Diceros bicornis minor: one gene and its partners. The protein of the gene in region 1 purifies or fractionates together with the protein of each later gene. This does not show direct contact. Links are inferred from orthologs where the notes say so. Each region holds a gene or a part of one and is shown on either strand. Other genes may lie near its edges.

Region 1 (7,285 bases):
CTCTACTTCACCGCGCTGCTGGTGCACCGGGAGGCCCGGGATGAGCAGCAGTGCCTGCAGAAATACGGCCTGGCCTGGCACGAATACTGCAAGCGTGTGCCTTACCGCATTGTGCCCTACGTCTACTGACGCAGCTCCGCCCACCCGACGTCGGGCACGTGCCCGCCCACCCACCAGCACACCCAGCACCAGGAGCCGGGGCGCACCTGCGACCCAAGGGCCTGCACCCTACCCTGCCTCGAGCTCCAACAGGCAGGGATAGCAGCCTCAGAGAGGTAGTTTGAGGCAAGGAGCAAATGAAGCCAGTGCCTAAAAATGGAGTGGATGGGCTGCTCTTCCTCCTTGGATAAACATCTGGAACCCTTGGTGCCGCTTCTCTCCCTCTCTGGGCTGTTTAAAAAGTCGCTGGGTCAGGCCTCATTAGGGAGAAGCTGAAAGCTGGTTTGCGGCCGGAGTCTGGGGGTGGGTGGGACAACAGCTGTCACTCAGAAATGGGCAATGCCGACAAGGCAGACCAGTCACAGCTTTATTAATGACAAGGGGTCCCCAGTTCAGCCAGGGAGCTCCTCAATGAGAGTCCTCGGAGCAGGTGGCAGGGGGCCTCCCCAAAGCTGCTCCAGCTCCCCAGTGAGGGCGGCCACCTCCTCGGCGGCCACAGCATGGGCTCGGTGGGCCCTGGTGCAGTCTAGAGCCAGGGGTGTGAGGGCCGCCTCATTTTCGTTGGTCCAAGCCAGCAGGAACTGGCACTTCTTCCGGGCCCGGTAGAGGCGATCTCGCTCTTCGGTAGCCACGGCCTGTTTCCGGGCCCGGCCCAGGGTCTGCGCCAGGTGCCCCAGTGCTGCCAGCGTGTAGGCCTTCTGATTGGCCGGGCCCTCGCCCAGCAGGAGGCGGGCGGCCTCGCGCATGGCACCCCTTGTGCCCAGGGGCCCGGGCGGATGCTCGCCTGCTTCCAGCACGTGGGCTGCGGCCTGCAGAGCCTCCTCGGCAGAGGCGAAGACTTGCTGGGCGCCCAGGGCTCCGGAGACGCCGAGCAGCGTGGCACAGAAGTCGGAGAGCAGCGCCTCGTCCCCGCCGTGATACAGGGCAAGAGTGTGTGCATAAGCGAACAGCACGTTGGGCAGCTGGAAGCGCACGAGCGGCGAGGCCCGGCCGCGGCTCAGGCTGGCCAGCGCGGGGATCCGGGTGGGCACGGCGGGCGCGCCGGTCCCCGGGGCGTCTCCGAGAAGCGGCTCGGCGGCAGCAGCATCCTTCCCGGGTTCTGGCGGCGTCCGGGCGGGTGGGAGCTCCAGCTCCGCGGCCTCCCCGCGGGGGACATCGTCCAGCTCCTCCAGAAGCCGCGGCCCGGCCCCGTGCGCCCACCACCACGGCCGCCACGCGGGCAGCAGCCTCCCGGCCTCGCCCCGGCTCAGCAGCCGCTCGAAGGCCGCCTTCTCGGCCGGGGTCAGCCGCTCCCAGAGTCCCGAGAGGCCGCCGGGCGCCGGGCCCGGCCTGAGACCTGCGTCCTCGGGCTCGTCCTCGGTCTCGCGTTGCTGACGCAGCCGGCGGAGGGCGCCGGCCAAGCGGCTGGGCGAGGCGCTGCGGCCGCGGAGCTCTCCCAGCACCTGGTCTCGGTAGAAGTCCTCGGCGCAGGCGCCGTGCGCCCGGTAGCACCGCAGCGAGCAGTAGGGCACGTTACAGCGCGGGCAGGTGTAGCGCGCGGGCTGGGCCTCCCCGGCCGGGCAGAAACCGCACGGCCCAGCCGGCTCCATGGCAACTGGCGCCGCAGGCCGCCACCGAACGCACACGGATTCCCGCCCGGCGCTTCCGGCGCTCCTCGAGTACTTCCGCCTGTGCGGGGCCGAGGGGGCGCTTAGTCAACGCACCCCGAGGACTCTCGGCAATTTCCGTCCACATTCGGAAGCCAGACCCCACCCCTCTCTCTAGTCTCGCTCGGGCAGGCGCAGGAGCCGCTCGTGACGTAAGAGCCCCGCCCCGCGCGGTGAGAGAAGCAGGAAAAGTGCGTCGGGCGGGCGCTCCGCCAGTGCCAGCTCGCCCCCTAGTGGTTGCCTTTTGGGCACTACAAATAGGTTCGGCAGAAATGGATCTTTGCTAAGCAGCTACCCTGGGCCACTAATTGTGCCAGGTCCATAGGAGATGAGATGCCTCCCCGCGCTGCAGGGGCAGCCATTCTGCTGGGGGACACAGACAAATAAAGGGGAGTGGAAGAAGGCCAAGGTGGAGTACCTAGCCTAGACTGGGTGTGTGTGTTGGGAGCATTTCCCCTTTTCAGAAGACAGCATTTAACAAGTATCTGAGCTCCTGTTTGATTTCCACCTCCAAACCTATCGTTCATCCAACTTTAAAGAGCAGACTCCGAACTAGGGGCCAAAAACACAGGAGCAAAAAGAGATGGAGTCCCTATCCTAATGGAGCTTAGTTTGTGGTAGAGTGGGGGTGACCCACAAACCGTGCCAAGCACTGTGAAGACTTGGTCCATGGCACCCCTGAAAGTAAGCTCTGGGTTCTTTGGTTCCTCACTTAACTCACATTCAGCCCCACCTACAGTCAGTTTTGCTTTCAAAATACCTCATCTCAATATGGATCATATATTTCCCTACCAAGATCTGGATGGATTTGACCACCCTCAGGTCTGCATCCCCACTACCACTGGTGGTTTAAGCTACTTGCCCCTCAACTGGATGACACCACCTTAACTGGTTTCCTTTCTTGCCAGCCCTCCAAAAAATCAGCCAAAGTATTAGATCACAAGTCAGATCACATCAGGTCCTTGCTTAAAACCCTTCCCTGCACTTAGTGACCCTCCATTGCACTTGGACTCAAACCCCAACTTCTCTGCATGTCTGCCAAGACCCCGCAGGATCTTCCTGTAACAGCTACATCTCACGTTAGCATGAGGGAAGCCATCTTAGGGAAAGGAAGCAAGATTTAACTATGACCCTGACTCACTAGTTTCTAAGAATGCACTCTGGCCTGCACGTAGCCTAGATGATTAAGCACCTTTCCCTTTTGCAAAATACATGATCTAGTTCTGTGACTCTTGCTTACATATATCTCCCAGCTGTGATAAGATGGTAACTTTTTTCTCCAAGTTGCCGAGGAACATGATGACCTCCAGAAAGAAAAACTCTGCGTTGGTACCCATCATGAATGACACAAGAGATACTGAGGTGACGAAGTTTGTCACACTGGATGGTCAACATTCCTAAACCTCCTCCTTCCCTGCCCATTTCTCCTATGTAACAGCCTCAAGATTCTGTATCACTTTTAAGATGGTTCTTTAGGACACTAGTCTGCCATCTTCCGATTATGCTAGCTAATCGTATAAATTTTCCTTTCTCAACCACCGGCTTGTTTGCAATTGATGGGCACCAGATTGTGGCAAGCAGAATGAGCCCCTTTTTGCTCGATTACAATCCCATCTTCAGAGGCCTTCCCTAGCATAGGGTGTGTGTCCACCCCCACTCCGACTTTCATTACTGCACTGCTTCCTTTGAGGCTGTACCACTTGTAACTAGTGTTCTCATTTTCCCCACAAGAATCTCAACTCCTAGAAGAAAGAGGGCCACATCTTTCTAAAAAGATCCCTACAGAGACAAAAACAGCCAATATATTTGCACACTTACTACGTGGTAGGTGCTAATCCAAGTTCTTTACACCCTTCGTTTAATCCTCACGGCAACTCAAGAGATTACGGCAGAGATTAAATAAGTAGTTAATTCAAGGTCAGCCAGACAGTAAATGGAGCAAGGATCCAAACTCAAGGCAGTCCAAGTCCAGAGCCCAAGGTCTTTACCCCGTGGCATGCTGTACCCCAAGAACCAGCAGGTTCAAAACTCTTAGCAGAATGAATGAGGGAGTATGCATGTGTTGCTAGGAGGGAAACTTCAATCAGCCTCAGTGAACTCCACTTCCGGGAACACTGACTCAATCAACTGACCAACCTCAGCTGTTATTAGGTTAACAAGGCTGCCACAGTTCCAATGTAATCAGGCAATGCTTTCCACAGCTGGGGCAGACCAGACCCCCTGCCCTAGACTCCATCAAGGCCACAGCTGGTCCAGGGAAAGGCCAGACTGATGTTCCCTGATACATCTACTTGAACTCCTCCCCTCCACTGCTGCCTCCATAAAACCTCCCACAATTCCTGCTCTCTTGTTTAAAAAAAAAAAAAGAACAAAAATGATTTGGGGGAATTATCAAGTCATTTGGAAATCAGAAATTGCCCCAATTCTCCCTCTGAAGGGCTAGCATCTGTGGTTACCCATTTTCACCAGAAACCTTTTCTTGTAGTTTACCAACCCCTCCTCACCCCGCCCCCTACCCCTGACCAAGGGCCTCTGCCTCTTCCTAACTTGACACTGCCAAGAAACCAGAGACGCCTCACTAGTGGACACACCAGCAGCCCGAGAAGCCATATCTCTCTCTCTGCAAATGAAGATCAAACAATGAGACGACTAGGCTAAGTGGCTTTATTAGAGAAAGCCAGGATTACAAAGAATTTAAGAGTTGGCATTGGGGCCCTTCTTCTTGCCAAAGGTGGGCACAACGTTGACAAAGCGCCGGTTGTACTGCATCCGCCGCTTGGCCCGGCCTGTCTTCTTCTTCTTTTTCTCCTGTTTGGCCACCTGGGAAAAGCGAGGGCTGATCAGACCCTGGCTCACCTCTTCTAAGCCTTCCCTCAGACTTACCTCCAGGGAGGGAGAAGGCAGACAGGGCAAGGGCCAAAAATCTTTAAAACAAAGTCCAAAGGACATCACTAACACTGTCACTTACCTTCGGAGTCTGACCTCTTACTTTCCCAGCACGGGCCAGGGAACCATGGACTTTACCTGTGGTGAGAAAGGAGACCAACAAGTGGTTATCGAGCAGGAAGGGCCCAACGGGGAATGAGAACAAAGTTGCAGAGATTTGACTTCTGACCAAGAATGTCTAGTCTGTACGTTCTGGGGTTTCACTTCAGGATATTTCAGCCCCTGACTTTCAACAAGAACTCAAGAGCACGCTAAGGATCTGCTCTGACCTAATTTTAGTGAGAAAGCTGGGAAACAGTCAAGGTTCTAGTAAGTGACTGAAATAGAACTATACTCCGGCTCAGTCTCCCATGGACGTCTCAAAAGTTCATCTGGAGGGAGGTAAACAAGAAGAACCACCCCAAATTGAGGCCACCGAACGCCACACCCCACACCCATTAAGTGATTACGAGCAGTTTAAAGACAGTCCTCACCAACTCACCTCCAAGCATGCGGCCGGCTACTTCCAGAGTGGTCAGAGCCTCCACCCCACACTGGCCCAGAGTAGCCTCATCCTCTAGGGGCGTGCCTGCCAGGAGCAAAACTTGATCTTCTGGAGCGATACCCTCCAACGAGGCTACATGAGCCTGCAGAGAAAAATGAGGCTCATGAGCGTTCCTGCGGGGGCCGAAGTTGAAGAACACGGGCGGATGGAGCCCAGGGAGCACCACGCAGCCCTACCTTGATCTGGGCGACCGTCTCCTGGCCGGTCACCTCGAGGGTGTGTAGCTCCTGGGTGCGGACAAAGAGCTGCATGTCGGCGACTGAGAAAAGACAGACTCGTAAAAGAGACGCTCTGGGACAGAGGAGACCGGGGAATGGGTGGCGGGCTAGGGACGGTCGCTCCGGGAGATAGGTGGTCGCGGGGTCTCACGTGGGCGAAGCCGGGCCTGCCAGGGAGCTCGGGTGGGGACGGGAGCCCGGCCACAGGGCAGCCCCTCTTCCTCTATTTCTCCTGCGCTCTCTGATCTCGCGGCCAACCTGCTATTAAGCTCTCCGGATCCAGCCGTGGCCCAACTCTTACCTGAACCTCGGCCACCGCTGCCGCTACCGCGAAGATGGAGTCGAGAAAGAGGAAGGAGCGAGGGCGCGCACGTCCTCGCCGCCTGCTGCGTGCTACGTCACTGCCGAGCGACCGCCAGAGCCTCTCATTTTTGTACCGCCCACGACCGTTCTAGCTCCGCCTCCTTTCGTTCCGCGCAGGCGTCATTTCGGTCCCGGCGGCGCGCGCAGGAAGGGGCGGGACCAGGTCGGTTGCGCGCGCAGAACGCTTGTGTACGGGGGCAGTTCAAGATGGCGGCGGCCATGTTCCGGGCTGCTCTGCGGGGCTGGAGAACCGGCCTCCAGCCGGGCTGCGGGCTACGGCGGCTGGTGAGAGCGCTGAACCTGGAGCTGGGGGCAGAGGGCTGGGTGTGAGGCTCACTGTTATTCCTTGTAACCCTAAAAACCGCGACCCTACTTGGGGGCTTAGTTTTCTCGTCTGATCGGGGGCTCTTCTGGAGCTCAGATGCAAGATTGAGAGGGATGGTGGCATTGCCTGGAGCGCGCTCTGGAGTGTGGGGGGTGGAACCTGATTGGAGAACATCCCAGGTTAGTCAGAAGTGGGAGGGGCTGCTTATCGACTAATTTTTTTGGAGGGGAAACCGTTCCACAGGGTGGAGTCGGCCCTGGATCATTGGCGACACTCCTGGGAACCTAGAGCCCATGATATACAGGCCACTTTACCCTGTTGCCCTGTTCTCATTGTAAGCCTGGGGCCCACCAGGACTCGGGAGTATCTATGGGGAGAAGTGTCCAAGACTGATTTTTAAGCTGGAGGATGGGAGGACAGACTTCGGAGTGTGACCTTAGCTAGATTGTTTATTGACGTTTTAATCTTTGTTGGGTGTAAAAAGGGGGTATAAAATAAAATACATAACTTGTCGCGTTATAAGAATTAAGTGCAAACGATACTCGTAGAGCACTAGTGCAGTGCCTGGTGGTGTCTATATGAGGCTGAAACGTTCCAGGTAAGGGAGGGCCACATCGGATGAGTGTGAGTGGGAAATGATCACGATTGCAACAGGTGCCTAGCCCAGAACTAGAATATTTTAGTGGAATGTTCAGAGAAAACTTTAAAATACCGGAAAATGCTGCATTGGTCAGACTTAACGGTTAATCAGCTTTTCAGAAGTATACACACACTTGTTATTTGAGTCCCAAGAAAATCCTGAGAGGCAGGCCCTTCAAAGTGCCTCAAATTCTTTTCCACTCCACCTGTACCCTGCACTCTGGCAAACTGAAGCCTGGTGCTTTCCCACCTCCAGCCTTTTATTTATGCCATTCTCCCCACCTGTGATGTTTCCTTTCTCTACCTACTAAAGTTCTGCCTACCCTGTGGTGGGTGGGCTGATGGAGAGACGGTTGTTTTGTTTTTGCTTCAGAGCCAGACCCAGGGGCCTCCCGATTACCCCAGTTTCGTGGAGTCTGTGGATGAATACCGGTTTGTGGAGCGC
Region 2 (7,746 bases), on another chromosome or scaffold:
CCATCGTAGATCTCCCAAGTGTTTTCAACTAGAGAAGCTCCAAAAGAGTGTCTATTTTTATCTACCTTATATATTAAACTTCAATTTGAACTTCATCCAGAAGCAATGGGGAATAGTTGAAGGATATTAGGCAGGAGAGTGACAAGATGAAATTCAAGTTTTACAAAGAAACTGGCAACAGTGTGAGAAACTGGAGACAATGGAACCGGAAAGGTTAGTTAGGTAGCTACTTTAGTCTTTCAGATGAAGAGATAAAGAGGGCCTACACTATAGCCAAACAGATGTAGAGAAGGGTGCATATTTTAGGAGTAATCATACTAGGATTTAGTGCCTGACTGAACATGGTGAAGTGAAGAGTTGAGTATGATTTTGAATTACTAACAAGCTTGGATAACTAGATGGATAGCAATGCCATTAAGCAAGATGAGAAAACACTGGATAAAAATGATTTTCTAGAAAAAAGATAAGGAGTTGGTTTTGGATGTGCTGTGCTAACATGACAGTGTTCTTGCCAATAAATATCACATATGTTTCAGTGAACAGGAGCTCGATAAAATTAAATTAATTAGTAGGGAACACATTTGGCAACTGCTAGCGAAGAGATAACAGATAAGAGCTAGATTGAGAGCCAGACTGATCGTATCACAAGATGTGACTCCTGAACTGAAACAAGACCCCCACATAAGTCACTGCATGAGTAGAGCCTTGATCACCTATCCATGATTCATTTTGGTAAAACTATAAGAAATGATAGGACAAAGTGCCATATTTGGCCAGAGGTCAGATCTCAAGCACCAACAACACAGGGAAGCAGTGAAGAAACCTCAAAATGCTTCTGAATGACAAATAATGGTAATAAAGACCAATTATTTCTCTTTATAAGCAAGGCAGAGCCACTCGTAGATCCCCACCAAAACAACAAGGCAGCCTACTAAATACATTACCAAGAGTGAGGAATACAGAGTAACAGCTAAAGGAACTATGGTTAAGGAAGCCAGATGCCTGAACCTGTTTAGTCTATATACCTAGATACACTATGGCATAGCAAAACAATTAAAGTCCAAAAGAAAAGCCATGTTTTAATAATGTTGAGTAGATATAATTTCCTAAGGCAATGACTATTAGAAAATTTTCATCAATATGAATTAAAAAGAATTTTTTTTTACGTTTAAGGGATTAACCGAATATAGGCAAACATCACTAACCTAAAAAGTTCAGGATATAAATCTCCTGACAACACTGAATGAACTATAGACTATTATACATCACTGTTGTCAGAATGACATTGAAAGTCATACATATCAAATCAAAACAAGTAAAAGAGCCTTACCTTTCTCAGGTTTATATTTGAGATTGAAAGGCTGATTCTGCCAGATATAGGGGACCAGCATAGGCGCAAACTGGGTCATTATCCTCTCAATATATTTTTGAAGAATCTCTTTGTGTTTTTCTGGGTCTCTTGGTTCATCTGGTATCAGGAATAGGCAGTACTCCACAGAGTCTTCCACTGTAGCAAGCTTCTTATTTTCCTCCATTCTTCTTTGAAAACTACATTTAAAGTTTCAATAATATAAACCCTATAGAATAATGTAGAAGTAATATCCCATTCCCTGAACTATTCTAGTCAATTCCATTGTTTTTCAATATTCAGTTATCCACATACCATCATCATGATTTTTGCCTTGACCACGTACCAACTATATTAACATTTATTTAATATTATTTTAATGACATTTTTATACTTAAAATAATATTCTTTATACTTAAAATTATGTTAAAGGAACTTTTGATATAATACTGTGAATGGAAATCCAGTATCATATTCCCAATTAACTAATAAGTAAGAATAAAATTTAAAATGTTTGCCCTTGTACTAGCAGTGGTGTAACACATTTTGAGAAACACTGCAATAACATCATTTGTTTAAATACTATCAAAAGTCCCAGTTCTGAGTTGTGTCACTTTGGGCATTTCACTTTCTCTTTCTGGTGCTTTTGCCTTAATTGTGGAATGAGAGTGTTACTCTATCATCTCTAAAATCCTTCCCCAGTTAAAATTTTTATTATTTAAACGCTCTTAAGAGCAATCTCCCTTACTCTGCAGAATTCCAATCTCTGCCTTTTACAAACATTGCATGGCACAGAGGAACTCAAAACTACAAAACATTCATATCCTATCATCTCACTCCAAAATAATCTGCCATGATTCTGTTACCGGACAACAGTTCTAGATCCTATAAGTATCTGTCCTAAATTTATCTCCTTTTCAGGTCTCAGGGGGTATAGCTCTGGTATATTAAAAGGTGGTAGATATCTCTTTATTTTCTAAGGGTTTCCCTTACAAAAAAAAAGTACTAGCTTACTCTTGCTGCCAGATGAGCCTTGGCAAAGAAAGGCCCTGCACTGGATGGTCCACTGTAAGGCAGCAATCCCATTTTGATGCTTACTCGGTTTTCTAACGGACTAATACAACGAGGTCGAGAAGAACCTGCATCTTCTATGTAGACACTCACTCACCACAGTCTGTCCAAATCATCATTTGGCCTTTCAAACCAGAAGGACAAACAATAATTCTACCCACCCGCACCCCATAATGCCAAGCGCACCCTATTATGAAGAACTTAGTGTCAGAACTGGAAGGGACTTTGAGATCACCCAGGCTTACTCCTCACTGTACAGATGAGAAAACCAGGAGCACAGAAAGAGAAGCCACCGAGCAGCAGAGGCCTGACTTGGAGTCGAGCGCTCTTTACTCAGACTAGGCTCCCTCCTTCCTTCGGACAAAGTGAAGCCGATCCGCTTACAGTTCTAGGGCCTCTCCGGCACGTCTCTGCGGCGGCACTTTTCCTCAGCGCCCCTCACACCGCGTGAGCTGGTCGGTAGCCGCCAAAGCCTGACCCAGGCTGGGGCCAAACACCCGTCTGGGACCTGAGGCCAGCGGAAGCTCGGACAGAAAGTCAGAACCCCGCTGAGCCCCGGAACGCCCGGCGTCTTCACCGCTGAGCGTCGGCGGGAGCATTAGGCGGGTGCCGCAGTGCCTTCGTCACTTCCTCCCCCGTGGGGAAGCTAGGAGGGCGGAGCACTTGGAGAGGTGGGGACTGTGGGTTGGTGGCGATCGGGAGTCTAGGCGACGGGGCGTGACGGGGCCGGAAGGTGGCGGGAGGGGGCCGGGCCGGAGCCGGCGGGAGGGCCAGGCCCGGTGGCCCCCACCCTGGCGTGCCCGCCCCGGCCGCGGCTGAGGAGGAAGAGGAGGATGATCTCCAGATACACTCGGAAGGCGGTGCCCCAGAGTTTGGAGCTGTGAGTGGACCACTCAGCTACCCCAGCTGGGGCCAGGGCAGGCCAAGGCAGACCGCAGGCGCTCTGGGGACCCTCTCTGATCAGTCCCTCGCTCTTTTCCTTTCCCAGAGCGGGGGAAAGAAAATTTTCTTCGGAATTCTCTCCTTCCAGCTCCTTCTACCTCCCCTTCTATCTGCCCCTTCTACCTCCATGTCTAGGAGGGCGTGTCACTTGTGTTATCCCAGGACTTGGCCCTCTTGGGCTGCACTTCCTGAACCGAGGGACTGGGTCTCCTAAGGCATTTGTAGTTACCGCAGTGCTTCATGCCCCATTGTCAATGGCCATTGAAGACTCGAGAAGTTATTAATAGCTGACTGAGTGCTATCATAAAGTTGAATTGATCTAGTGCCGGGCACCAAGCAAAGCTGCTTACGTGCGTTAGCTCACTTAATGCTCTCCACAGGATACCAGATAGGGACTATTATTTTGCACATTCTACAGATAAAGATCTCAGATTTAAAGATTGTAGCATGCCAAAGATTACACGGTCAGAAAGTGGCGGAGCTGAAGTACAAACCTGATGTCAATCTGATTCTGAAGGCTGTGGTCGTAACCATTACACTACTGCCTCCCCACCTCTGCAGTTAAGCATCAGAATCCTTAAGGATCAGTTTTGGTTTTGAGATTTTAGAAAGCAAAAGCCTGTGGTCATAATCGTTACACATACTGCCTCCCCATCTCTGCAATCAAGCGTCAGAATTCTTAAGGATCAGTTTTGCTTTTGAGATTTTAGAAATTTTAGAGAGGTGGCTTCAAGCCCCACCTTCTACCCCTAGTGAGGTGTTGTAATTTAGCAAGTAATGATAATGTATATATTTATTAATGCTTTACACTTTCAAAAAGACCTACACATCTTGATTCTTCTAACAATGCTGTAAGATGGGTATGATTATCTTGTTTTTCAGAAAATGAAGTATCAGAAAGGTTACACATTTTAAGATTATATAACCAGTAGGTTTTTGGACTTTTTAATCCCAAATCTCTATTTTTTTCCTCCACTGAGCTATGTAATTTTAGCAACCATGCATTTATTAATTAAATATTAACTATAATGGTAATAATAAGCATGGTATTTTCAGTCACATTTGGGTTTCTGGCTAGGCTCTTTTCTAGCCATGTGACTTTTAGGCAGATTGCTAAATCTTTGAGCCTTCATTTCTGTAATACAGAAATAAGACCTTATTTAAAAGCATATCTAAAGTGATAGCACAGGGCTTGACACATAGTAGGTCCTCAGCAAACAGTAATTTCCTTGTCTTTTCCCACCTTTACTTGGTACAATAGCCATACAAAGAAAATCAGTCTACGATCTCTCCTTGCCTTTCAGAAGCTTGTTATCTACTAAGTAACAGGACATCTACACAGTAGCAATTCAGTTAGTAGGCTTTTGAGGAACCAGGAAGAAGCAAGTTATTTCCCAACAAAGGGAACAAGGCTTAGCTAAAAATCTGCTTTTATAATTAATGCTGAGAGTAAAAAAAAGTTTTTCATGGAAAAAAATGGTTGATAGGCACTTATTGGGCCAGAATTATTGACCCAGTGTGGTTATGTTACTTGTTCTCTATTGTTGATGTGATACTCCCTAAAGATAACTCTCCCAAAAGATGATTCTCTAAATGAGTCAGGATGATGTGAATAATGAAGATAATGAAGATTATATGCATCTAAATGACAGTTAATTAAAAGCAATTTTTACTTTAGGTGTTAATAATGATAATTTGCTTTGAAGAAGTAACTTAGTTTTCTCCCTAATGGTTTCAAATTATAGATATTGAAGAGTTTGGAAAAAAGTGATTTTCAACATACAGCTTAATATTTTTTAATGATAAATTTCAAACATAAATGTATGGTGAATAATATAATGAACCACCCATCACCCACATTCAACAGTTATCAAAATTTTAATATATTTGCTTCATCTATAATCTTTGTGTTTTATTCAGCCTCTCTGTCTGCCATTTGTGAAATAAGGAAGCAAAATCCCAGGCATATCATTTCACCCCTGTATACTTCATTAGGCACCTAGAAATTATAGACATTTTCTTATGTAACCATGATGCTGTGATCAAATTTAATATTTCTTTGGTATTATCTAATTGTCACGTCACGATCAGATTTCTCTGACAGACTAAATCTGCCTTAAGTTTCTATTTTGCAGCTGGAATCCACATTTCTAATCCTCACTATTGTCTCAAAGACAAGCTTTTGGTTGTAGGATCATTAAATGAGAGAAGTACAAATAGCTTACAAATCCATCCCCACCATTTGAGAATAATTTAAAGTAACAAGCTCAGGGCTGGCCCCGTGGCTTAGCGGTTAAGTGCACCCGCTCCACTGCTGGCGGCCCGGGGTTCGGATGCCGGGTTCCCACCGATGCACCACTTCTCCGGCCATGCTGAGGCCACGTCCCACATACAGCAACTAGAAGAATGTGCAACTATGACATACAACTATCTACTGGGGCTTTGGGGGGGGGAAATAAATAAATAAATAAATAAAATTATAAAGTAACAAGCCCAGCTGGGTTAAAGTAACAAGCTGGCTGGGCCTTTAGCTTTATCTTTATACAAAAACTGGTACAATTCACTGAAATCTCAAACTACTCATTTGCCCTGAGAGCCCTCAGAGCCAGACTACGTGGATTTGAATCCTAGCTCCATTACTTACTAAGCCATATGACCTTAAGCAGGTTACTTAATCCTTCTGTGCCTCACTTTTCTTTCCTGTGAAATAAGAGTATTAGAGATTTATAATATACATTTGCATATTAAAGGCCCTGGGAAAACTTCTTGTAAAGAAACCTGTGTAACTTTGTTTAACCTATCATGTTTCCTAAATTTATTTGCCTACAGAATTTTGTGGGGAAGGAAAGAAAGGGCTACTGTAGATGATTAGGATTGGAACATATAATAGTTGACTCCATAGTTTATTCTAGTGCACACGTTGAACTCTCTAGAGCAGCACTGTCCAATAGAAATATAATACAAGCCACATGTAATTTTAAATTTTCAGGTAGTCACATTAAAAAAAATAGTAGAAACAGGTGAAATTAATATTTTTAACTTTTTATTTGAAATAATTATAGACTCACAGGAAGTTAACAGAAATAGTACATAGAGTCCCATGAACCCTTCACCCAGCTTTCCCCACTGATGACAACTTATGTAGCTAAAGTAAAATTTCAAAGCCAAAAAACTGACATTGATACAATACTTTTAACTAGACTATAAACCTTATTCAGTTTTTACCAGTTTTCATATCCGCTCCTTTGTGTGTGGACGTGTGTACATAGTTCTGTGCAATTTGGTCTCATTTATAGATTTGTGTAACCACCGGTACACCAAGATAGAGAGCTGTTTCATCACCACCAAGGAACATCCTTGTATAACCCTCACATCCACTCCTTTCTCCATCTTCCTGGTAACCAGTAATCTTTTCTCTACCTCTGTAGTTTTGTCATTTGTGAATGTTATATAAATGGAATCATATAGTATGTAACTTTTTGAGATTAGGTTTTTTCACTAACCATGATGCCCTTGAAATCCATCCAAGTTGTTGCATGTATCAATAGTTCATTCCTTTTTATTGCTGAATCATATTCCATTGTGTGGATATACCAGAATTTAACCATTCACCCGTCAAAGGACATTTCAGTTGTTTCCAATTTTTTCAATTATAAATCTGCTGTAAACATTTGTGTACAGATTTTTGTGTGAACATAAGTTTTATTTCTCTGGGATCAATGCCCAAGAGTGCAACAGCTAGGTCTTATGGTAAATGTATGTGTTTAGTTTTATAAGAAACTATGACACTATTCCAGAGTGGCTGCACCACTTTACATTCCCACCAGCAATGTATGAGACATTCAGTTTTTCCACGTCCTCACCTGCATTTAGTATCATCACTATAATTTATTTTAGCTATTCTAATAGGTGTGTTGTTATAACATTATATTTTCAATTTGCAATGACATTATTTTTAAGAATATATTTTGTTTAACCCAATATATTTAAAATATTATTTTAAGATGTAATCAAGATAAAATAATTAAGGATATATTGTACATTCTTGTTGTACTAAGACTTCAAAATCCTATGTGTTTTTCACTTCAAGTGAATCTCATTTCCAACTAACCACATTTTAACTGCTAGTGGCTAGTGACTACCGTGTTGGACAGTGTGGTTCCAGAGCAATAAGAAGTAGGTGACTAACTTGTAGATCAAGTTACTGAAAAGTATGTATTTTTTCTTTACAGGAAATATAACTTTGTTTTTATCTTTCACAGGAAAGGAATAACAAAACATGCTCTGAATCATCATCCCCTTCCAGAGCAGCTGGATGAAGTTTCCTCTGCCAATGACAGCCATGAAAAAGACACAAGTTCCCAAAGGTAATAACGTAAAGTATA
Region 3 (7,851 bases), about 5.7 Mb from region 1:
GGGGACGGTGAGGTCCTGGGCCAGGGGGGTGCTATGTCCAGCTCGCCTAGCAGTGGGGGGGCTGCAGGGCTGATGCTGACGGCAGAACCCGGAGCTCCGGGGAGGCAGCACGTGGTCAGCCTAGACTGGCCTGCGATGTGGAGCTCGGGCGCCTCCCCTCGCCTGTCTGGCCCTGGAGGAGGGTTTACAGGCAGCCTGACGACCTTCCCCAGAATGCCAGCTCCCTGGTTTCCCTGTTTGGGTCTTAAATTGCATCACGGTTGATTGCCCTTATGTCTAGTTCCTAAGTTCCAAAGTTGCTTTTTTTCTTTCTTTCTTTAAAGAAAAACCCACAGATATAATAGGAGCGAGTCCCAGTCTCATGGCCAATCTCAGGTGTCCCAGGGCATGTGGGAAGCTGAGGCCTGGCTGTGGTGTCCAGGGTCTAGCCGGTCCAGGAGGCATGGGCTGTGGGAGCCTGTGCCAGTGTCTCCAGTGGGGGAAACTGAGGCACACCACGACGACCCCTTTTCCATGGGGAGAGGAGAGGAAGAAATGGGGCAAGGAAAGGGGTACTGGCGGCCCAAGCCTCCTTGGGGGCTGTGCCACCCTGCATTTCCCAACCCACCCAGCCCCTACCCTTGTCCTCTTCCTCCAGCCGCCCCTGGTCCTGCGGGGACAATGAGAACACTGGCCTCCTGCTGCTGGGGCCAAATCTTAGGCTCCATACAGCTCTTCCCCGGTCAGGACGTGGGTGGGTGGGTACCGCCAACCACCCCACACACACCTGTTGCTCAGTCGGGCATGTCACCTGTGGAAGGCGAGCCCCAAGCTGCCACGCCAGTCAGGGCCTCAGGAAGCCCTGGCCGTGCCTGCTCTGAACCCCCCCTCTACCCTGACCCAGTTCTTCACCTGTCTGGTGATCCTGTTTGCCTGCGAAGTGGCTGCCGGCATCTGGGGCTTTGTCAACAAGGACCAGGTGAGCCTGAGTCCATAGGGGAGGGCCAGTCCCAGCCCGGAGGGGCGGCGGGGGGGAGCACCTGCTGCTCAGGCTGTGGGAGACGGGTCGGGTTGCGGGGTGCTCTCTGGGACTGGCCTGGGAGGGAGACCACAGAGGGCTTTCTGGAGGCGGTGGCATGGAGGCAGGGCTGCCCGACTCCCAGCTTCTGGGTTGCAGCTGGGCTGTCCTGGAAGTGATACCTTCTGGGAGAGTCAGGTGAACGCTGTCTCTGGGGATGGTCCCCGCTGTGCATGTGACCCCACCCCTCCCCCAGATCGCCAAGGACGTGAAGCAGTTCTACGACCAGGCCTTGCAGCAGGCCGTGACACTCAGCAAAAGCGACAGCGACAGCGACAACGCCAAGGCCAAGGCCAAGGCTGTGGTGAAGACTTTCCACGAGACGGTGCGGGAGATGGGGGGAGGCGGGGAAGGGGTCGAGGGGGACCAGGGGAGGCCAGGTGGATGAAGGTGTTTGTCCCCTCAGTTGAGGCCCAGCTAGGCCTCAGCCCAGACCTCCGGAGCAGAAGGGACACTTGAGACCTGGCAGCCCTCTCCTTGAGGGCTGTGGGGCCGTCTGCGAGCCCTGTGGGGGCTTCTCTGGGACCTGTGGGTCCCTGGTGGGAACGAGACAGTTCAGGCCGGCTGGGGTTCATGGGTCTCTGAGCAGCACAGCTGAGTGAGAGGCAGGGAAGGAGGGGGCGCCTGGGTTTGGTGCTCCCCCTGGAGGGGACTATCCCACCCCCGCAGCACCATGCCAGGCCGGGGCAGCTGCTGGGGCCCCTGCAGCCTGTGGGATGCCTATCCTCGTGCATCTCCCCTTGCGTCATCTTGCCCGCGCCCAGGACTGACCGTGGGCATGCTTGCTCTCTGCAGCTCAACTGCTGTGGCTCCAGCACGCCATTCGCAACGACCACCCCTGGGTTCAGGAACGACCTGTGTCCCTCGGGCGGCAAGGTTATACCCAACTTATTCAAGGTGTGGGTGGTGGGTGGGACCTCCCAGGGGCTGGGTGGGGCTGGGCCTGCCTGCTCCCCCACTTCGCTGCCACCCTCCCCTCTCAGTGGGTCCTGGGTGGTGGGTGGGCCACAGCTACACAGCGGCACTGTGGCTAGAGTCAGGGCTGTTCTGCCTGTGGGGCTGGGCCAAGGCTGAGTTTGTACTGACGGCCCATAGCGGGGCGACTGTGCCCTGGGTTCCCAGTGGGGGAGCTCTCCTCCTCCGCTAGCTCTACCCGTACCCGAGCAGGCATGGAGGGCGCCCTGACCGCTGGGTCAACGCCCATCAATGCCCAGTGATCTCTGAGTGGAACAGGGAGCACACAGCCCGTCCCTCGGTTCCACATTTGGTTTAAAATGGAGAGACTGGGTGTTGTTCACACCTCTTCTGAGGGGCAGGGGCCGTGCCCCTCCATGCTCTTTCTACAATGATCCGGCTGCTGCAGTCCGGGGGTCCTGCGGACCAGTGCCCCTGACCGCCTGTGGCCATCCCCCACAGGAAGATTGCCACAAGAAGATCGATGAGCTCTTCTCGGGGAAGCTGTACCTCATCGGCATTGCCGCCATCGTAGTGGCAGTGATCATGGTGAGCGGGCAGGTGGGGCGTCTGCTCAGAGCCCTCCACGGGTCTGTGGGTGCTGACCAGCTTGCCCGCCCCCTCCCCGCAGATCTTCGAGATGATCCTGAGCATGGTGCTCTGCTGTGGCATCCGGAACAGCTCCGTGTACTGAGGCTCCGGCCACTCGGGCCGCAGGCCAGGCCGGTGGGACCCCTGCGGCATCCCCAGGGCGACCCGGACACTTCTGCAGAGGGCCTCTCACCACCTGTGTATATAACTTTTCTGGTATTATTACTCTGCTGCACTTATTAGTCTTTTTACTTTTGAGGTTTTGTTTTGGTCCTGAAGTTCCCCATTACCTTCTGGGGTTGATGTCACCTGTAGGTGGTATGTGACTGGACCCTGGGGACTGCAGGGCAGGGGCCCCCTCTGCCCCTGGGGCCGCCTGGGGGCTCTGCCTGCTCAGCCAGCCCTCTCCAGGGGACCTCGCGGGCCTTCTGGTGGAGCTGCATCCTCCCACCCACCTGTCCCCATAGGCTGCAGGGCTCAGGCCGTTTTTAATCCATGTTCCTCTCCTGCCACCTGTCTCTAGAGCGGGGTCTACGAGCGGCCTTATGCCTTTAATGCACCTCTCCTTTCTAACGTGTCACCTTCAACTGTAATTACATCTTGAAAGTCATTCAATAAAGAAAGAAAAACCAGGCATGCTCACAAACTGTCCAGCCCCTTCCTGTGCCTGCATCGTCCAAGACCCAGGGGGTGGCCGGAGGGGAAGGGGAGCCTGGCACGCATGGGGCTTAGCTCTGTGGACCTTGCTGGGCCCAGGGTGTGCTGCCAACTCTGTTGGTGGGTGAAGACAGACCCCCCCCCCCCCAGGACAGCCCCCTTTCTTGGGCCCTGTGCCACCTGCAGCAGTCTCCAGCCAACCTCTCCCCTACTCCTCCTGCTGCACCACTGCCTGGAAGGAGCAGGGGGGACAGGGCGGCCAGAGAATGCGGTGCAGCAGATGTTTGAGGTGGGGGGCCTGCAAGACTCTCCTGACGGAGGGCTCTGTGGAGGCTGGACGCCTGGCCCCGGCCCTGTCCCTCCCCGTCTAGGTGCCTCTAAATGTTCTGTTGAGGAGCTGGGTGGCTCAGGGCTTAAGCCCCATCGTGCAGGCGCTGGATCAGAGGGCCTCTACGACTGCCTGCGGGAGCCCACCTGGCCCACCACGGTGGACTGAGGTCTAGCTGCCTCTTGGATCTGGCTGCTGCCCCGTCTGGAAGGCTGGGTGACATCACTGTGAGCTATAGGCAGGCACGGACCTGCGTGTGTGTTAAAATTGACCCCTTGAGGCCACAAAGGCCTGGCTGGGATTCATGTCGCGGGCACCCGGCCGCCTCCCTGGGGGCAGATTTTGGAAACGAACCCCAGACCTGCGCTGGGGGTCGGGGGGGAGGGTCTCAGCGGGCCTGCCGCTCTCACCATACCCCTCCACCGAGCTTGCCGGGTCGGGTCGGCCAGAAGGACGGGATGGTCGAAGAGCCCCCTTTTTACCCGGGGATGTCCTGGCCAGGGCTTAGGTGTCTGTCACCTGTAAGCTGCGATGTGACACTACACAATTAGTGCGGGGGGGGGAAATGGGGAGTCCCGAGGCTGCACAGGAACGGGCCCCGTTTCCTCTCCGGGTCCCTGGACTCCGGGGATGCAGCCCTGGGAGAGGCCGAGGTCCGGCCGTCCAGCAGGCGGGAGCCGAGGCGCCTGGACTCGGGCACGGCGCGGCCCAGCGGGGAAGGGGCGGGTGGCGGCCGCTGGGCCCGGGGACGAGGGACAAGCGCCTGTCCAGGGAGCCGGGGCCTGTCCTCCGCTCCCGGGCGGAAGAGACCAGCTGGACCATCAGCCATCGGCAAGCAGGCTAGCCCGACCATGACCCCCTCGGCGGCTGCGACGAGCACTCTACCTGAGGCGCGGCCTGCTCCTAGGACCTACGACGAGCGCGATCAGCCGCTTCCGGCCAGGACCGGAAGTGCCCGGGAACAACGCTGCGCGTGATGATGCACTTCCGGCCTGAGGGACTACTGTTCTCGGGCCTTCCGGCAGGTGGCGCTGAGGCCCAAGGAAACCGGCGCCAGCAGTTAGCCCTCGAGCATTCTGGGAGTCGCAGTCCCTTCTCCTCCCTTCCCTCCTCTCCCTAATCAATTCCGGGCTCTTGGGGAAGGAGTTCCGACGTTTCCGGGGAGGGGAGGTCAGGGAGAGAAGCGAGGGCGCATGCGCAAGGACTACACGTCCCGACAGGCCTCGGGAGTAGCGGTCCAGTGCCTTGTGGGAGATGTAGTTCTTCAGGCGCGGAAGCCTTGGCGCTCGGCCGGCGGAGGACTCGGTTTCCCAGAGATCCGAGCGCGGCGCAGGATGGAGGCGGTGCAAGATGGAGATGGCCGGGCGGGCCACCGTGAGCTGGTAGGTTTGTGGTGAGGTAGGACGGCGGCGCAGGCCGGTTGGGTCTCGCAGGCTGCTGCCCCGAGCCCTGAGACCCCAACGTGCTCTTTGTTCCTCATGTCTCGCGGCCTGGCCGTCGGGCCCCCGTGCCTCGTGAGGCCCGGACACTTCCTCACCCAGCCCGACTGGGTCCCCAAGACCCAGGCCTCGGCACGAGAGCCTGCTGGGCGCGAGTGCAGGAAGTCACGGCTCTGCCTCCGACGGGGAGAGAACCGGCAAGGAGGCCAGTGGTCCCGCTCCCGGGGACCCCCGACCCCTCAGCCCGGACTCGGCTCTGCCTTCTCTGAGCTCCCGCAGTTCCCAGAGAGCTCCCAGAGACAGGCTCCCGTCTGCCCCGAGCGCCCCGCTGGTCAGGCGTCTTGTCGTAGGCGCGGCGGCGTCCCCGGCGGTGCAGGGGACGGGAGTGCGGATTTGGGGAGCCGGGGTCTGCTCGGAACTCCAGCCGTGCGTGCGACGTGCTGTGTGACGGGCAGATTATCTGTCCCCCCGGCCCTGCCTGCTCTGGAACCCCCCGGTGGGGTGTGCTCCTCTCCTTGTTCTCTCTTTTAGTCGTTCCCTCGTTTGGGAGTCATGCCGCAGAGGAATGGAGATCTCGCCCGTGTCTGACCTGGTGCGGGGCTCTCGGGGCCGCTCCTGCTCCGCCTGGCCAGGTCTTCAGTGGGAGCAGGAGCAATGGGTCACCCTGGGCTAGGGAGGCTTCTCCGGGGAAGGGGAGTTGGTGGACGGATGGGTGAGGCTGGGCTGCCTCTGAACCTGGAAACAAAGCTGCGGGTGCCTGGTCACACTCGGACACTCGAGTGTCCTCAGCAGTTCTCTGCTCAGCTGGGGAAGGTGGGGGTGTGTAGCGAGTTAGAGGAGAAATGCTCTAGGGGCCGCGGGGGCTTGCCTCTGCCCAGCGAGGCTGCTCCAGGTGATCACTGACACCCAGTTCCCTGAGAGCTTTGACCCTCAGGTGCCCAGGACCTGGCTGCAGACCCCTCTGAGCTCTCAGAGCAACTCCAGCAATCAGGAGCAAACCTGCTCCCCACAGACAGGGCAAAGTGCTCCAGTCTTGGTGGAGTACTTCCTGGGTGCCTCGCGCTGTGCTGAGCAGTTTATGAATGACCCTCCTTGGTCAAGAGTGGTAGTGTCAAGCAGAGGCTGCTCTCATCTCGGGGTTCAAGCCCTGGCTGGCCGCCTGCTACTAGAATTCCCCGTCCCCCAGCAGGCCCCTAGTTGTCAAGTTAGGCTTAGCTCGAGAGAATTGAATGAGGTGACATGACAGAGGGCCTGCTCCTGGACCTGGCCTGTATGGGGGCTCCGGAAACCCGGGTCCACTCCCGGGGTTGTGGCACCACTTCTGCACGCTCACTGTGGTCTGATGGCTGGCTTTCCTTCCCCAGTCTCAGCCGCCTACAGTTGAGCCGCAGCTGAACAGAGCTGTGCCGGGGGACTTCTGGGACTGAGGCCACCACGCCTTTGCCGCCACGGACCTTTGGCAGCGCTCCTCCCACCAGCACTCCAGTGTCAGCACAGGCACCCAGAAGACAAGGGAGGTGAGGAGGGCTCTTGGGGAGTGGAGAGGGACTGTCCCTTCCTTTGTAGGACACAGTTCTTTCTGCTGATCCTGCTGCCTGCTGGGTGCAGTAGGTCTGCAGGAGGAGTTTGTTCTAAATGCGTGCTGTTCTCAGAAACTGTTTGCTGGGCTGTTTTGGTCTAGGTGTGGCGTGGCCTTGGGACACATGGCTGAGGCAGAGGCAGGCGAGGCCTCTCTTGGCTTGGACGTCGAGCAGGGGACAGAGTATAACACCCTGCCTTCCGACACCGTCTCCCTTAGCGACTCAGACTCCGACGTCAGCCTACCGAGCGGTGCTGATGTGGAAGCTCTGTCCCCAGAGGGGCTTCCTGGGGAGGCCCAGGGGGATTCAGACCCCGATGAGTCCCCCTCATCCCCCAGGGGCTTCCCCACAGTTGAGGTGCAGGCGTTCCACCTGAGAGGCACGAGCACCACCTTCTCTCAGCGCAGCCACAACATCTTCGACTGCCTGGAGGGGGCAGCCAGGCGGGCTCTGCCCTCTGTGCCCCAAACTGGCATGGGTGACAATGGGGGCTTCAAGCGGCCCCGGCTGCCCTCAAGCCAGCCTCCAGCAGAGGGCCTAGGCAGGCCTGTCCCTGACTACGTGGCCCATCCCGAGCGTTGGACCAAGTACAGCCTGGAAGACGTGGCCGAGGCCAGCGAGCAGAGCAACCGGGCCGCCGCCATGGCCTTCCTGGGCTCCCAGAGCCTGGCTGCCCCCAGCAACTACGTGCCCTCCTTCAACCAGGATCCCTCCAGCTGCGGGGAGGGAAGAGTCATCTTCACCAAACCGGCCCGAGCTGGCGAGGCCAGACCTGAAAGGAAGAGGGTCCTGAGGAAGGCGGGAGAGCGGGGCAGGGGTGCCCCTGGGAACCCAGCAGTGGTGGGGGGTGAGGGTCCTGTGGAGCTGGCCCACCTGGCTGGGCCTGGGAGCCCGGAGGCTGAGGAGTGGAGCAGCCCCTGTGGGGTCCTGCAGGAGGTGGACACGCCAGAGGGGGCCGCCCACACCGGGTCAGCAGCAGGGTCCCCAGTGGTGGAGACTGTTGGCTTCCACGGCAGCAGGAAGCGGAGTAGAGACCACTTCCGGAACAAGGGCAGCAGCCCCGAGGCCTCGGGTGCTGAGGTCTGAGAGGAGAGACTGCCCAGCCAGCCTTCCCCAACCAGGCTGCCCGTGGGCTGGTGTTGGAGGGGCTGCCGGGGGCCACTGCCCACATAGGGTGGCTTTAGGGGCAGGTGCCGCGGGCCCCGTCCCCACTCCTTTGGGAAGGGAGCTGACGGGCTGCCTGCA
Region 4 (7,879 bases), on another chromosome or scaffold:
AGGAAGAAACCCATACGAGGGCCCACCTCCCTGGGATTGGCCTTGTCCACAGAGCTGTAGTGGAGGAAGTGGATGCCTGGTGGGATCATTTTCACGCCCCGGAACTTCGGCCCCACCTCCCAGGAGTTGTAGTCAATGCCAAACTCTGTCCCCTTGGGCATATTCAGGATGACCACAGTGGCCCCTTCAAAGAAAAGGCGCTTGGCAAGCTCAGGATCCATCTGCATGGCAGCCATGGGACCAGTGGCGGGTGACCTTTTGGAGAACTTTTCTTGACTTCCAAAACAGCTGAAAAAGAAATAAATCAGAGTTAATCAGAACTTGGGGAAGGATGTTTCACTGGCTGAGCATTCTCTATACGCCAGATATTGAATTAGACTCCTGACATAATTATCTCCCTTAATCCTCACCACAACCTTGCATCTGTTTCACAGATAAGGAAACTGAGACTCAAAGAAAAGAGGATTTTTGTGTTTTGGTTTAATGGGCACGAACACTCACTTCATAGCTAAAAAGACATCAGTTAAAGAAGTGACATGCTCAAGGTCACAGAAGGACCCAAATTAGAACCTGAGTACCTGGCCCTCCAGGCCAGTGTTCTTTCCACTGTCCACGCAGGATCTACTCTCAGATCTCTCTCTCACAACAGAGGAAGAAGGTGGAGAAAGCCTGGATGATCCATTCTAAACCATAACTCTGCCTAAAACCTATTGCTGGAGAGTCCCAGAAGAGCTGAGAAAGATGATTCAATCAAGCACACACCCAGTTTCTCACAAGCCTCAGGCAAAGCCCAGAAATAGACAGAAGGTAGAAAGTGGGTGCTTTCTACTTAAAATTCACAAAAGGTTTGGGCAGTGGAGAGCTATTCAACTACAACACCCTCTTTATTCTATTACTTATAAAAAAGCTAAAGTCTAGGAAGTGAAACGACTTCCGAAAGGGCCCACAGTCAGTGGCAGTTTTGGTCCACTCGCCCAGAAGGGATTCAGGTGGCGTGGCTGGCCTAGGATCAGTATTTGGAAGAGAAAGAGCTTAGAACACCTATTTTATCTACTTCTGAACTACCCATGAGGACATACTGATAAAACTTCTGTAGGCAGGCAGACACTGTCTCTGTGTATTTATAAGAATACTTCCAACATGAACTAATTTAAACCAATTATCTAACCTTCTAGTCCCAAGACACCTACCTATTCAATTCAACAAATAATCACTGAGTGCCTGCACTGTGCCAGGATCCTTGCCGGGCACTAAAAGAAACATCCAGAGTAAGACAGTCACTGCCCTCCAGGCACTTCCAGTCTAACCAGACATACTAACAAGACCCCAAATTTCACAAACAGAAGAACCAGCTGCCTGTTTAATTCTTTTTTACTCTTTTTATGCTAAACAAAAGTGAAGAAAGGAAGACCAATCCTTTTCCAAAAATGTTAAGGGCATATTTTATCATCTTAACCCAAAAACCACTACAAATGACTCTCACTCTAAATCAGAATTTTGTCTTTTCAAACTGCAAGTCACAACTCGTTCATGGGTTAAGAAATCAATTTAGAGGGTCTCAACCAGCAATAATTTTTTTAAATGAAAAGAACAGAATTATAAAAAATCAGAGTACACCATGAATAGTAAAGATAAGTATTGTTTTCTGAAGCTTTGTGTGTTTGTACATATCCTTGGTCAAGATGTAAAATTTGTTACTGTAGGTCACAGTGAAAAAAGTCTGAAAGCCACTGCTCTAAATAATTTATATCATCATCTTCCTACTTCCAACTCTGAATTCAGAATGTACTTAATAAATATTTGCTAAATGAACAGCTATTGCATTTAGAATAACTGCTCATCAATTAGCTATTTTCTCTTGCAGCATCTGTGTGCTACTCCTCGATAATGACATTCCTTTCATTCTAATTCCACCAGCCTATAATTCTCTTCAGTGTATCTTCAGCAGCTGGCACGTGGCCTGGCACAGAGAAGATGCTCTGGAATGCAGAAAGTCACATTCCTCCACCTCTGTCCACCACCTCCTTAATCCAAGCTACCATATCCCTCAGCCAGAGAGTGCTTGCCCCCTCCAATCCCTTCTCCAAGAGCCAAAGTTACCTTTTCAAAGTGCCAATCTAAGCATGTCACCACCCGCACCTATTACCCTCTGAGTGGCTTCCCATGTGGCTCTTGGAAAACCGAAATTCTTCCCACGACCTACAAGGCCTATGTGGTCTGTCCCCTGGCCACTCCTCCAGCCTGTCTCATACAGTGCTCCCCCCCAATAATCGCTCTGTTGCAGCCACACTGGCCTCTTCCCCACCCTCAAACAGGAGGCTCTGGATAGAAAACTCTTCCCTCCTCTCTGCGTCAAATCATTTTTCCGATCTCAGCTCAACATTCACTTCCTCAGTAAAGCTCCTTTGACCTGAGGCTGGCTCAAGCCTCCTGTGACGCACTCTCAGGGCGCCTTGCACCTTCCACTGCACTCAGCACGGCTGCGATTTTCCGTATGTTTAATAGAGGGCTGTCACCTCCACGAGAACTGAGTCTTTTGTATCTCCAGCACATATTAGACGCTTGATAAACATTTCTATAATAAAAGCATGACATCCATCTTGTAGATGAGAAACAAAGGCTCGGCTCGTCGAAAGACCTTACCCGAAGTTACAGAGAGTAGGACAAAACCAGGGCGGGCGGAGCCAAGGTCTCCAGCCCCCAAGTTCTACAGTTAGGAGGAAAGCGCAGTTACCCCGGGTGCCCCTGGAAGTCCCGGCGACGGTCCGTGGTGACGGTTTCTCAGGAGAACGGCCTGCAGACACCAGGGTCCCAGCACCGGCCCACAGACCGGGAGGAGGCCGTCCCGGCGAGGTGCCCCAGCTCAGAGGCACTCCGTAATCCCGAAGCAGAAAGAGGGGTGGCCGCGCCACACAGACAACGAAAGAAGAGGAGTTAAAAGTTGACAGGAGGCAGCACTCACCGACTTCGGTCTTCCCCACGCTCAGGTTCCGCGGAAGCGCACCGGAAGTTCTACCGCTTAGGCGCCGGACCGGAGCCACGAGGAAAGCAGCCCGGCAGAGTTCTCGGTCGCGGAAGGAACGGTCCGCGCCTGCAGGTTCCGCCCCATCAAATGTTGCCTTTTGCTACTTTTAGTTATTCGTTTTAGTTCCTGAACCGTGGAAAACAACTTTCATCAAATGATGCATTTTATATCCCCCTCCAGAAACACATCCACCAGCAGTGGTTCTTTGGTTTCAATCAGTCATGGTCACTGAAGCCAGGGTCAAGGTCATGGCTGCCCAGTAGCCACAGTCAGACCCTCAGTCATGGTCCTGGTCAGCCAGTCTCTGTCGGAGTGACGGTATCACAGCTGGCCTGTTATCATCCGGTCCTGGCTCAGCCCTAGGGGAGAGTCTCTGAAACCCAGCCCCCAGCCCAGAGAGAACCAGACTCAGCAGCAGTAGTCACCACATTGGTCCCTCCAGCCATAATCACAGGGTCCTCTGGCAGCCCAGACCTAGTATACTATCTCAGTCAGGCTACAAATGCACCCGGAGGGAGGAAAGTCTATCTTGTTCTCCACTGTTTCCCTGGAACCTAGCACAAAGCCAGGCACAAAGGCTCAGCTCAGTGTATATATTATGCATTTAATTAATGACAGTAATTTGGTATCAATAAATGGCTTCTATTTTTGGGCCTAGCCCTGTGCTGGGTGGTTGTATTAGTCAGGGTTCAACCAAAGAAGCAGAGCCAACAGGAGATATATAGGACATTTATTGCAAGGAATTGGCTTACGTGATTGTGAGTGCTGGCTAGGTAAATCCAAAATCCATAGGGCAGGCCACTGGTATATGATTTTTAATCCTTACACTAACCCTCATAAGTAGGCATTAGTATTCCCAACCTACAGAAGAGAAAACTGAGGTTCAGTGAGGTTACACAGGCAGAGAGTGGTGGAGTTGGAATGCAAACCAAGGTCTGACTGGCTGTTCTTGCCCCTGTGCTGCTGCTCCTTAGCTTGTCTGTCACATTTCCTCAGTGACAGCTGGACACGCCAATCTGTCTCTGTCAAAATTCATCACTTAGTGGGTTACAGACTAGACTGAGCCCTGCAGTCATGGTTAATCACAGTGAGCTGCTGCAGGATTAACCAGAGATGGCCTCCATTAGTCACAGTCATGCGTGTCAGTCTCAGCCTGTTGTGTCAGTTCCATTTCCTGCATGAAGCTCAGCTCCCTCTCCGCCCCTCCCCATTCTTAGGCGCTGAGCTCTGTGGTCTGGTTTCAGAACTCTGTGTTCCAGCTGGGCTCACCATCTTCTCAGAGACTCTAGGGCACTAAACTAGGGACTACAGCACAGAAGCTATAGATAGTGGCCCAGGAACCCTACCCTGTGGGTGGAATGTCCATCCAGATTAGGTTTCTCAACCTTGGTACTATTGACATTTGAGGCCTGGTAATGCTTTGTTGTAGGGGGCTGCCCTGTGCATTGTAGGATGTTTAGCAGCATTCCTGGCCTCTACCTGCTAAATGCCAGTAGCACCTCTCAGTTGAGACAACCAAAAATGTCTCCAGACATTGCTAAATGTTCCCTGGGGGACAAAATCCTCCAGTTGAGAACCACTGATCTAGATGAACCAGCCCTAGGTTATTCCCAAACAGCTCAAAGGCTGACCCTGTATTTACGGGAGATGGAGATACAGATCCAGGGTGTGTGGGTACCCAATGTAAGGAAACCTACAGGGAAAATTCAAGGAAGGATCACAAAGCTCCAGGAAGCAATTGCCTCTGACAATGGACAGGAGTCTGGAGTGGGTTGAAGAATGGCTTTTCACTGCACAGCATTTTGTATCATTTAATGAATTAACTTTAAAAAGAAAAGACATAGTATTTGAAATTATAGGGAAACGCTCAGGATTTAAGTTTAAAAAAGTATTTAGAATGATACATACTAGGTGACTTCACCTCTGAAAAAATACACATATGTAGAAAAAGAATGGAAGAAAATGCACCACATTATTAGCAGTGGTTCTCACATGTAAGATTTTGGGCAATAAAGAAAGGTGGTCTAGGGGCCAGCCCTGTGGCTTAGCGGTTAAGTGCACGCGCTCCGCTACTGGCGGCCCAGGTTCGCATCCCGGGCGCGCACCGACGCACCGCTTCTCCAGCCATGCTGAGGCCGCGTCCCACATACAGCAACTGGAAGGATGTGCAGCTATGACATACAACTATCTACTGGGGCTTTGGGGGAAAAAAAAGAGGAGGATTGGCAATAGATGTTAGCTCAGAGCTGGTCTTCCTCAGCAAACAGAGGAGGATTAGCATGGATGTTAGCTCAGGGCTAATCTTCCTCACAAAAAAAATTAAGAAAAAAAAAAGAAAGGTGGTCTAAGGTGAGTTGCTTAGTAGAATAAAAAGGAAAGTGTAGTACACACACCTCAGGTAGTCCAAGGGATGAGCTTAAGTTTTACGTAGATTATGGGTTTTTAATTTTAATATTTTTGCATTTATTTTTATGAAGACCTCCTTTCTTTGGCAAGTGACACTAGTTTTCCATTTGTGGAAGGTAGTTTCCTTTTTAAATAGTTTGTTTTACGGAGAGTCAATTTAAAGAAAAATGATAAGTCAATAATGGGACAGGTGGCATGCACAGGGATATGGCAACATATGTGAAGGTGGTAGGCAAAGGCTGAAGTTGGGGATTGCTGTATACATTAGCCACCAGGCTCCCATGGAGGGGCTGTAGGAAGACACCCCAATGTAGGTGCTCTCCTTTCAGGAAGAGGGATCATGTTGTTCCTCCACACACGAAGCTCCTCTGTGTGGGGCTTGCAGGCTCACTGTTCCTTCTGCCTAGAATGCTCTCACCCAAGTTCTCCATCTTACTGGATCTTTCTCTGCATCAGCTCAAAAATCACCTCCTCGAGGAGGCCATAAGCCGCCACCTAATTTAAAGTGGTCTCCTTGGTGACCATGCCCTCCCCCTGTGCCTTTCCTTTCTGGTGCTGATCACATGGAATTACCTCTGACTGCCTGCTTGTTTTGTTGTCTGTTTCCTCCATTAGCCTGTAAGTTCAGGGAAGGACTTTGTCTTATTTGCTGTTGTACCTGCAAAGCCTAACGCAAGACGTGGACCACACCGGGAGCTGCAAATATTTGTTGAATAAAAGTGTTCTAGGGTGGGATCTCTCCACCCCAGTTTTAGCTCTTCTCACAATGCAAACTTGTACTGGTAGCCAAGGTCAGAGAAAGAAGCCAAGGCGGTTTGTGGTTCAGCATCAAACACATTTATTTCACTTTTATTGAGTATACAAGAACAGAGAGCACACGCATACAGCACGGAGCACTGAGGTGGGGGAGCGTGGGGACCAGACAGGAGAGAGGGGGGTGAGTAAAAAGGAACAGGACAGCATCGCAGTTGGTTGGTAAGGTGCTTTTGAAAAAAAAATTATTTAGAGTGATGTTGCTCATGCAATTTCAGACCAGTCTTGGAATGTGCTTGCAGGATTCAAAAACTGAAACAGGTCCTGGCACTTCCTGTACCCTCAGATGGAAAAGATCCCGAGAAAGCAAAATGAGAGAAAACGAAGATCTGCAGGATGGCAGAGTGGAAAAAGACCCTGGAGAGCATCCGGTTTATCCTGTTCATTTTGCAGGTGGGGAAACGGAGGCCCAAAAGGGGTACGGGACTAGCCTAATGTCATATGGTGTGTTAGGGGCTGAGCCAGGATGGCCACCCAGAATTCCTGACTGCCCTCCAGGAATTTTTCCACTATGCTACATGGTCTCCTGGGTGGAGAGGCGGCACAGAAAGGATGAGAAATGTAAAAAGGAAAAGTAGGTTGAAGACAGATAAGACAAACATCTATATTCTCTATGAAGAGGAGTATGGGGAGGAAACAGTGCCCTAGATTTCAGTTGCAGCTCCCCTCCTCCCTGGTGGCACTGCCTGCCTCTCCGTGGAAGGAAGGTCAGAGCACCCGTGGGATGGAGAGCTGCACAAATCCTGCCCCACAAGCTAAGCCTGGCCACTGCATCCCTGCCCTGAGGCCACATAACCAGGGTCTGTAGGCAGGTGCAGAACTCAGAACAAATATTCTCTCTCTGAAGTGTGTCCAGTGTGCTCAGGATGTCTGGTTCCTGCAAAGACAGGGGTGCCTGAGACAAATTTTGGGGGGGCCAGAGAGGTTGGATCCACTTCAGCTCTTGGCCCAGAAAGAATGGGAGCTCTCAAGTGAAGAAGGGCAGGAAGGAGGTTTTGTGGCTTCTCTACCAGGACTGTAAAAGGAGCCCGGTGCATGGAAAGTGTGCTGTGGCACTCAGCGGGAGTTGGAGTGGGCTGCCAGCCTGCTCCAGGGAGGATGTGGCTGACTGTGCCACAGGGCTCTCTCTGCCCGCTCTCCATCCCATTTTGCACACAGAGGCAAACACTCTTCTGGTTTCCTGTCCTGCCTCAGGTCAGCCAGCTAAGCAGCTAAGCATATATGTGACGGGGTAACTGATATGCAAACCAGGACCCTCTGGAAGGCATCCCTGGGCAATGTCCGATACACTGGAGAGAATAAGGAAATGCTCTCAGAGGGGCCAGTTGTGACAAGAGATGTAAGGCTGGCTCAGGGAGCTTCCCTGGTCCCTCCCCTCCCCTCCCCCTCTCTCCAGCTCAAGAATGGTGACTGCCACAAGTGGGTACCCAATAAATATCTGTTGAATGAATTTATGGCCTGCTTTAGAAGCAGGACTGGGCAAGTGAGATGGGACTGAGAAATTGAAGTGCAGCGGGGCCATCCTCCCTTAGAAAAGGACTCATCGAGCTCAGGGAAGCAGCTTGTGGCAGGAAAGCCTGGGAAAGCCCATGTGTGCCAGAGGTCAATGCCAAGCTTTTGCCAGGGTCTTCTCCA

Evidence for each region.
Region 2: the proteins of ZNHIT2 (region 1) and ECD purify together in Homo sapiens (affinity purification with mass spectrometry; 3 studies listed by BioGRID and IntAct, counting the BioPlex papers as one, with this or other methods). This does not show direct contact. The link is inferred for Diceros bicornis minor from reciprocal best matches to the Homo sapiens genes ZNHIT2 and ECD.
Region 3: the proteins of ZNHIT2 (region 1) and TSSC4 purify together in Homo sapiens (affinity purification with mass spectrometry; 3 studies listed by BioGRID and IntAct, counting the BioPlex papers as one, with this or other methods). This does not show direct contact. The link is inferred for Diceros bicornis minor from reciprocal best matches to the Homo sapiens genes ZNHIT2 and TSSC4.
Region 4: the proteins of ZNHIT2 (region 1) and AAR2 purify together in Homo sapiens (affinity purification with mass spectrometry; 3 studies listed by BioGRID and IntAct, counting the BioPlex papers as one, with this or other methods). This does not show direct contact. The link is inferred for Diceros bicornis minor from reciprocal best matches to the Homo sapiens genes ZNHIT2 and AAR2.

What each region holds. Positions count from the first base shown.
Region 1 is NC_080770.1:8,036,764-8,044,048, reverse strand, and holds ZNHIT2 (zinc finger HIT domain-containing protein 2), read right to left. Parts: upstream 2,921-7,285; 5' UTR 1,749-2,920; coding exon 552-1,748; 3' UTR 514-551; downstream 1-513. Other genes in the region: delta(14)-sterol reductase TM7SF2, read left to right, coding at 1-129; FAU (ubiquitin-like FUBI-ribosomal protein eS30 fusion protein), read right to left, coding at 4,500-4,625, 4,774-4,829, 5,233-5,377, 5,472-5,546; MRPL49 (large ribosomal subunit protein mL49), read left to right, coding at 6,084-6,161, 7,190-7,285. UniProt on the Homo sapiens protein: May act as a bridging factor mediating the interaction between the R2TP/Prefoldin-like (R2TP/PFDL) complex and U5 small nuclear ribonucleoprotein (U5 snRNP).
Region 2 is NC_080745.1:33,360,113-33,367,858, reverse strand, and holds the start of ECD (protein ecdysoneless homolog), read right to left. Parts: upstream 3,010-7,746; 5' UTR 2,665-3,009; exon of another isoform or gene 2,606-2,664; intron 2,521-2,605; exon of another isoform or gene 2,363-2,520; intron 1,549-2,362; 5' UTR 1,536-1,548; coding exon 1,331-1,535; intron 1-1,330. Other genes in the region: primary cilium assembly protein FAM149B1, read left to right, coding at 3,253-3,299, 7,624-7,728. UniProt on the Homo sapiens protein: Regulator of p53/TP53 stability and function. Inhibits MDM2-mediated degradation of p53/TP53 possibly by cooperating in part with TXNIP. May be involved transcriptional regulation. In vitro has intrinsic transactivation activity enhanced by EP300.
Region 3 is NC_080770.1:2,325,162-2,333,012, reverse strand, and holds the start of TSSC4 (U5 small nuclear ribonucleoprotein TSSC4), read left to right. Parts: upstream 1-4,843; 5' UTR 4,844-4,969; intron 4,970-5,022; exon of another isoform or gene 5,023-5,665; intron 5,666-6,390; 5' UTR 6,391-6,543; intron 6,544-6,707; 5' UTR 6,708-6,729; coding exon 6,730-7,692; 3' UTR 7,693-7,851. Other genes in the region: CD81 antigen, read left to right, coding at 1-7, 884-958, 1,254-1,382, 1,853-1,954, 2,474-2,560, 2,643-2,705. UniProt on the Homo sapiens protein: Protein associated with the U5 snRNP, during its maturation and its post-splicing recycling and which is required for spliceosomal tri-snRNP complex assembly in the nucleus.
Region 4 is NC_080758.1:23,635,436-23,643,314, forward strand, and holds the start of AAR2 (protein AAR2 homolog), read right to left. Parts: upstream 3,006-7,879; 5' UTR 2,963-3,005; intron 2,957-2,962; exon of another isoform or gene 2,735-2,956; intron 2,723-2,734; exon of another isoform or gene 2,644-2,722; intron 289-2,643; 5' UTR 237-288; coding exon 1-236. UniProt on the Homo sapiens protein: Component of the U5 snRNP complex that is required for spliceosome assembly and for pre-mRNA splicing.